Linked DNA regions of Bombyx mori. The main gene of each other region encodes a partner of the protein of the gene in region 2 in a complex. Links are inferred from orthologs where the notes say so. Each region holds a gene or a part of one and is shown on either strand. Other genes may lie near its edges.

What was found. Proteins that work in one complex are often made in the same cells at the same time.
Region 1: the proteins of protein dispatched (region 2) and sonic hedgehog protein are in contact, whole or in part, in a cryo-EM structure (PDB 6TD6), measured with the Drosophila melanogaster proteins. The link is inferred for Bombyx mori from reciprocal best matches to the Drosophila melanogaster genes disp and hh. Residues at the interface, in NP_524734.2 of Drosophila melanogaster: His77, His78, Arg250, Tyr253, Glu296, Ala404, Gln405, Ser406, Asn407, Arg408, Gly434, Asn755; in NP_001034065.1 of Drosophila melanogaster: Tyr100, Pro101, Val103, Leu104, Lys105, Gln106, Thr107, Asn110, Leu111, Ser117, Glu164, Lys165, Val168, Ala228, Gly229.

The regions. Positions count from the first base shown.
Region 1 is NC_085115.1:6,288,086-6,291,585, reverse strand, and holds part of sonic hedgehog protein, read right to left. Parts: intron 3,091-3,500; coding exon 2,980-3,090; intron 2,018-2,979; coding exon 1,867-2,017; intron 1-1,866.
Region 2 is NC_085128.1:4,459,642-4,463,885, forward strand, and holds the start of protein dispatched, read right to left. Parts: upstream 2,801-4,244; 5' UTR 2,745-2,800; intron 1,523-2,744; 5' UTR 1,282-1,522; coding exon 1-1,281. UniProt on the Drosophila melanogaster protein: Segment polarity protein which functions in hedgehog (Hh) signaling.

The DNA of each region.
Region 1 (3,500 bases), on a different chromosome or scaffold from region 2:
TTCAACGGGAGGATCGATATATTTATCTCTACAAAAAATACAAAAGTAGTCTTTATTTTCTTTTTCGCCTTTTTCTTTTTTTTACGTATTTTGACTAGAGTCACTAAAGTCTTTTTTTATATTGTTCAAATTCTTTAATAATATTTCATACTTCTTGTTTGAAGGTGTTCTTTCATTACATTTCAGTCTTTTTATTTGGGTTCCTTTTTTGCCATCTTTCCGTTTTCTTCTTGATTTCTTACGTTTCCTGATCGTCTGTAAATAAAGGTTTTCATCCAACCATGGCTGTATTAACACTTCTTTCATTAGATGGTCAAAATTAGTGGTTTTTGGAACATTATATGTTTCTGCTGCTTTACGCAGGGAGAGTTTTTGGTTTTAACATCGTCTATAGCCTTTTTGAGATCTTCTAAACTATATTTCAGTTTGGTCTTTCTTTTGTAAGTACAAGGCATCTGTAATAATATTTAAAAAAAAGTTGAACGGGGTACTAACAAACGGGAGTGTCACGGCGAATGTTCGAGATTGCCCGACATGGAGTGTTCGTCTTTACCCCGCGGAATCGAAAATAATTAAAGGTCAAAAAACAATTTTGGTTAAATTTTTTTTGCCTCCTACATCATTATCATTTAGCTGAGTAATATGTGATTATTCCACTATGTAAAAGCTGAATTATTATTGTAGATAGAAATAAAGTTACATCAACTTGAATTTACCAAAAAATTACATCTAACACATACAAAATATTGAAAAATGCATACCTTTTTAAGTACGTGTGTCCGCGTCTCTCGTGTTATTGACTGGCATCAGTGGTGGCGTGATCTCCGAAACGGCGGCAAATAAAATTAGGATATATCTTTCTAACATATTAGAACCATTGAATTCGGCATTACCCAGCGTTCGCGTTTCCCCCACTTTCCCCTAAATTAGTTTTATCAACGCTTTTCCATCATGCTGTAACCATGATGCTGCAATAAACTGTTACGTAATCAAATATCCACTATCCAAATTGTCACGTCACGTATCTAACATCGTATAAGTTATTGATCCAAATATATTAAAACGAATTTTTTTTTTCATCGTTATCATCGTATTTGGGTTTAACTGAACGTAAAAATTTTACATTTCATATTGTAACCGATCTTGACAAGGGCGTCAAAAATTTTGTAATTACTCATCACAGTGATGTAAATTATGTCACGTCACGTATCTAACATTGCACAAGTTATTGATCCAAATATACTAAAAAGAAAAAAATCATCGCTATCATCGTATTTGGGTTTAACTGAAAGTAAAAATTCTACATTTCATATTGTAACCGATCTTGACAAGGGCGTCAAAAATTTTGTAATTACTCATCACAGTGGTGTAAATTATGTCACGTCACGTATCTAACATTGCACAAGTTATTGATCCTAATATATTAAACCGAAAAAAAATATTTCATCGTTATCATCGTATTTGGGTTTAGCTGAACGTAAAAATTCTACATTTCATATTGTAACCGATCTTGACAAGGGCGTCAAAAATTTTGTAATTACTCATCACAGTGGTGTAAATTATGTCACGTCACGTATCTAACATTGCATAAGTTATTGGTCCAAATATACTAAAAAGAAAAAAAATATCATCGTTATCATCGTATTTGTGTTTAACTGAACGTAAAAATTTTACATTTCATATTGTAACCGATCTCGATAATGGTGTTAAAAAATATTATAGTTACTCATCACGGTGGTGAAGTTATTTATGACTCAGTTAACCTGAAGACGCACGTGTCGTCAACCCCGAGACTGCGAAGTGTGACGCTGCTCGATCAGCAGCGCATTTTAAATGATAAAAAGCGAAATTCAATTGAACACCCACCTGTTTTAACAGAACAATGAATGTAAGACCGGCTTTCATAGAAGACCCAGTCAAAGCCGGCTTCGACAGCGAGGCGGGCCAGCATACCGTATTTGCTGCGGTCTCGGTCACTGGTGGTTAAGTCCACAGCCCGACCCTCGTAGTGGAGAGACTGTACAAACAAAAGTATAAAATTATTTACTTACGATCAGCTCTTTATATGTTCTGCCGGTGGTGGTGTGTCTTGTGAACATGCACTAGTAAGTACCACCGCCCCGGCTATTTGTCGCGAAGCAGTTCCGATATACAAGGTGAGGCAGCCGTTGTGTTACAGAACTCATATCTCAAAATGGGAGGCGCTGTTTGTGTCGTCGACGTCTATGAGCTCCGGTAAGCACTTAACACCAGATGGGCCATGAGTAGGTTTAGCGGTCTATAAAAAAGTTGGTAGCTGTAGCCCATAGAAATCGTAAATTTTGCTACCCATCTGGAAATTTCAATTCGAAGTCTCCATTGTATTATCCTAATGGTTTCTCCTCTGAAACGCATGAATGATGTGTCACACAAATAATCAGGATTTCGTCACCTACTCTCTCGGGCTGGCTAATTAGACCAATGCTTATTGCTCAAGATAGGCGGACAACTCAAGGACCAGCTAGTGTTAAATATTTATCGGAATTCATATAAATCATAATAAAAATGTCACAACCTCTCTTAATATGTTTAGTTTTGGTCTCAAATCGTATAATAGTCGTCTTTGCTATTCAAACCGAAATACTTGGCACTACCAAGATGATTGTACCTGCTAGTGCACGATTTTAATTCGATCTCCCATCAGTAATAAACGCAAATTATTTTATTTGCTTCTATTCTTCAATCTAAGCAGACAAACGTAACGAAATGTATAATTTACTTAATATTAAGTGGAACAGCTGGTCATCTGACACTGAAAACTAGGGATAAGCAGCAATCTATTCCAGGTATGATAAGTGTATTCAGTTGTACCAGGTCATCGGTGCTCATTGGCAGTATACATAAATACGATTGGAATAGTGTCTATATTTCCTTTTGTTTTGCAGCATCGACAGCGCTTACAACATGCCTCATCATTCAATGATGAAATGAATAATGTACCTTGTCTAGATGATTATTCTCTTCGTCCCAACCTTCGATCACACGGAGCCGCACTCCCGGCCACTGGTTCATAACGCTGATTGCGAGAGTGTTTAATTTCTCCTTGCATCTCTGAAAATATTAATGTTCTTAATTATGATCATGTTCAATTATTGATTTATTTTAATTATATAATTTTAGGAATTCTAACCGAATACAAGTTACAATAGACACTGTTAAAGCAATTAACATTAAAAATAAGTTTTGTGAATTGAAATAGTAAATCCAATAAATGAAGAAACATTTTCAACAATCAAATAAAATATATTATCAAAGGATGTCCTAGCAAATGGGTAACAAACGTTGCCGCCTAAACCAAAGAACAACGCAGGATGTCGGACATTTTGCCATGAACGAATAAATCAAATTAAATCACGTCATACAAAAAGATCGACACAATTTATTTGTAAAGTGACTCTGCCGCACGAATAAAGGAAATGTCACAATATTTAGAAAGAAAAGTGGACAAAGCCGAGCGCGCT
Region 2 (4,244 bases):
GGCGGCAAACAGAAATAGCGTGAGAATTAATGATCTTGTATATATCCACACACATGCAAACACAAAAATGCCACCTAATGCTATCAACCAAGTATCCTCAATGATCCAAATATCAAAAAGAGCATTTTTCAAACCAAAATCAATAGCTGGTATAACAAGATTGTCATATGACATATTTGAGTTTTCCAGTTTCTTATAATATGGCAATACAGTATCACTTCTTGGAAGTGGCAAAAACAGCATTGTATTCTTTACAAACTTTTGTGCATTATTCAATGGTGAAAATGCTTCTGAATCTATAAGATAAAATAACAAATTATAGACTGCGTTGTGCTGAGTACAGTATTTCGGAACATTACAGTGATCTAAATCACAAGCAGCCATCAATGTAAAATTATGAAAATATCCTGCACATTTCTTCAAAATAGTTACAGCTTTTTTTACATCTTCCTTGTTTAAGTTGACACAGGAATCCTTTCCAGATATTAAAGCAATATAATTTGGGAGACTCCATACAGGACAGCAAATATCTTCAGAGTGTGTTGTCCTCTGACATAATTCATAATATTCATACCCACCTAATTCAACCAGATATGACTGAAATTTACACAATCTCTCAACATTCTTGTATGACAATAAACTCGAATTATCTGTGTTGGTAATAACTAAGTGAGCATAATCTGATATTGGTGGACCACACGTTCCAGAAGCGTAATTAAGATTGATGGGCTTGTCAGCTATCCTCTGCATATTTTTCAAAGACAACCACTGTTTTCTGGAATGGTCTTTGAGTAGTACAGCATGTTCATCTTCATTTGTTACATTTATTCCAAAACCCCAATGTACATGTCCATCAGAAATGTTTAATTCACTATAATCAGACCAAGTTTTTTCTAATCCTGTGATATTCGGGACCATTTTGTTTTTCTTGTTTCGATCCTTCTTTTTTGGCCTTCTGCGTCCTGATCTAGATCTGTCTTGGTGAGTCTTGTTGTAGTAAGTTCGGTTCATTCTGATTTGATCTTCAATTTCTTTAGGGTTCACTGCAAGACGTTTGGACGGCCTCGTTTCGTCATTCAGATTTTCCCAAGCAATGAAGCGATGTGCTAACGTCGTACCCCGGGTTTCAAATCCGACTATGGGATCAGAAAATGAGGGTAGCTCGTGTAGAATTAGCGGGATCACAGTAAGTACGATGGACAAAATACTTACAGTAAAAAGAACGAGGTAAGAATGACGAACAATAAACCTGGAATAAGCGGCCAACATCTCGAACTGCATATTATTCGAGTTTCAATCCATTTTCTCACGATAAAGCATTAATTTTTTCGGCATTTTAACTTATGCAAATGCATGTACAATATTCAAATGGGTTTACATATTGCAAAAAAATAAAAAAGTAGAATTTCACAAAATCACTAAACAAATCGTAAATAATGTAGGATTCCTTGTCTCTAATCTATTTCTGATTGTTAAATGTCATTGTTGTCACTTGTCAAAAATAGTAGTTTTATTTTTCCAACTGGAAAGGCAAAGGTATTACCATAAAGGTAAATACCATAAAGCATAATCTTTTATATATCGACGCTTGAAAGGCAAACGTGACTAAGCGACAATAACCGCTTTGTACATAGATCTACCCGATGATATGTAGGCGAAGTAAAATGTCCCTTAGAAATAAGGTGACACTCTACAAAACTTGCATACGCCCCGTCATGACCTATGCAAGTGTAGTATTCGCTCACGCGGCCCGCACTCACTTAAAGTCATTCCAAATCATTCAATCCCGTTTTTGCAGGATAGCCGTCGGAGCCCCGTGGTTCGTCAGGAACGTCGACCTCCATGACGACCTGGACTTAGAGTCCACCAGTAAGTATATGCAGTCGGCGTCAATGCGCCACTTCGATAAAGCGGCACGACACGAGAACCCTCTCATCGTGGCCGCCGGTAACTACATTCCCGATCCTGCGGACAGAATGGAAAGCAGTCGACGTCGCCCAAAACACGTCATCTCGGATCCTCCCGATCCACTAACGGTGCTTCTAGGTACTTCAAGCACCGGTCACCGTTCTCGTCGAATCCGTCGCTTGCGACGAAGGGCTCGACGAGTAAACTAACTCTCAGACACAGCCCACTGAGTTTCTCGCCGGATCTTCTCAGTGGGTCGCCCGATCCGGTGGTAGATTCTGCGAAGCACGGCTCTTGCTAGGGTTCGTGTTAGCAACGTCATCAGGTTTGAGCCCCGTGAGCTCACCTACAAAAGTTAGGGTTACGCTGACATAGCCTCTCAAGGCTCTCAGCCTAGGTAGGAAAAAAAAAAAAAAAAAAAAATGTACATAGATGATAGGCAATAACCATATTCGATGCGCAAAAAAAAAATATTTCTAGGTCTATTAAAATCATTTCAATCCTACAGCTACTAGCTAGATTCTACTACAGCTAGATTCGTTAAAATAAATTTTGTTTTCAGGTATTTCAACTTTATAATTATAAAGTTCACGCATTGTCGCTTAGTCACGTTTGCCTTTCAAGCGTCGATATATATACATATATATATTTTTTAAATGAAAAATGATAATTTGAAATGAAATGAAATTGATTAATATGAAACATGGCATGAAATGAGATGATATGAGATATAATATAATCTCAGTAAAATGGTGGTCATTTAATGAAACTTTTTCAGTTCACTTTTTCTAGGATCTTTCACAGATATTAAACAGTTAATAAACCACCGTTATTACACATTTAAACATGAAGAAACAATAAATAGACAAAATAAAACAAATCACACAGTTTCACTCTTCGCGTTCCCGCCAAAAATGTCATTAATTCATTATTGTCACTTTTTCAGTGGTAATTCTATTTTTCCGACTAGAGAGGCAAAGATATCACAACGTACAGCCCACTCTTTTGTTACTTTTTCAGTGGTAATTCCATTTTTCCGACTAAAGAGGCAAATATATCACAACGTATAGCCCACTCTTTTGTTATTTTTGTTTTATGAAAAATGATAAGGAGCGAAATGAATTAAAGTTGATTATTTTGAGACATTAATCAATTGAAATGAAATTCAATGAAATGAGATTGTATAGGATGATAATAATATATAGTCTCAATAAAATGTTCGTTTTTTTCAAGCACATCCCGAAAAGAAACGTCCAGCAGCTTTGTTTCATTTTCTCCGTGCATTTTTACAGAAGTTAAAAACCTAATAAACGACCGTTATTACAAATTTAAGCCCGAAGAGACATTAAACATTAGTGCAGATGTTAATGGGGCACAAGCTTTCAAAACCTCTTCTTCTTCTTTTCATCAGTCCACAGACGTCCACTGCCATAGAACATAGGCCTCCCCCAAAACTTCTACGGGGATACAATTTGGCTCACTCAACTTATGAACTTCCAGGAGCCAGAGCTCAGGCCTGACTGCAGTGACTGCACACTGTGTGAAACGGCCAGCAAGAAGTTATTACACCAGGAGTTGTTCGTTGGTGTGGCTCTTCTGTCCCCCTAGTCGACTTTAACGCGAAGAGCTTGTTGGAGTTTGAATATGTAAGCAGTGGCAGGCAACACTTGACACATGTAAGGTTACATATTTCGAATATTGGAATTCTTATTTAAATGTTTAAAACAGATATTTGTCTTCTCTTGAGTGATGACAATGACTTCTCATCTAAATACGGGCAGTGCAACATCGTAGGGTTTTTATAAAAATAAAATATTGTAATGGTGTAATAGTGTACAAAGTATTTGCAATATAATTATATTAATCATGAAGCTAGAGTGTTTTTAAATAGTCCCTCACCTACAGAACCCATTCCACTCAAATTTAACCGTCCAACAGAGCTAAATCAGAAAGTCAGCCTTCTCTTTCGTGCTATGGACCAGACTCTTGTGGCGTTTATGAACGCACATTTTTATGATGCGTAAGCCGGAACGCACGAGATGTGGGAAAAAGAATAAAGTATGTGACACGGGACCTTTTTACCGCCAAATATTTAAAACGTAAAAAATAATTTATAATGTGTTTAATAACTAATGTAATATAATTACTTAGAATTGTTTATGCCGCTAAAACAATAAAATTTATATTGTTTCAACTGTGGTGTTAATTATATAAAACACGACTTTACGGCGAAATAAAGAAGGGACTCTATATGAGCTCCCTCACTCTCATTAACTGACACAGTGGTAGGAAACTGACAAAAGTCTACTTCTGCAACGTGCGACCAAAATACACCG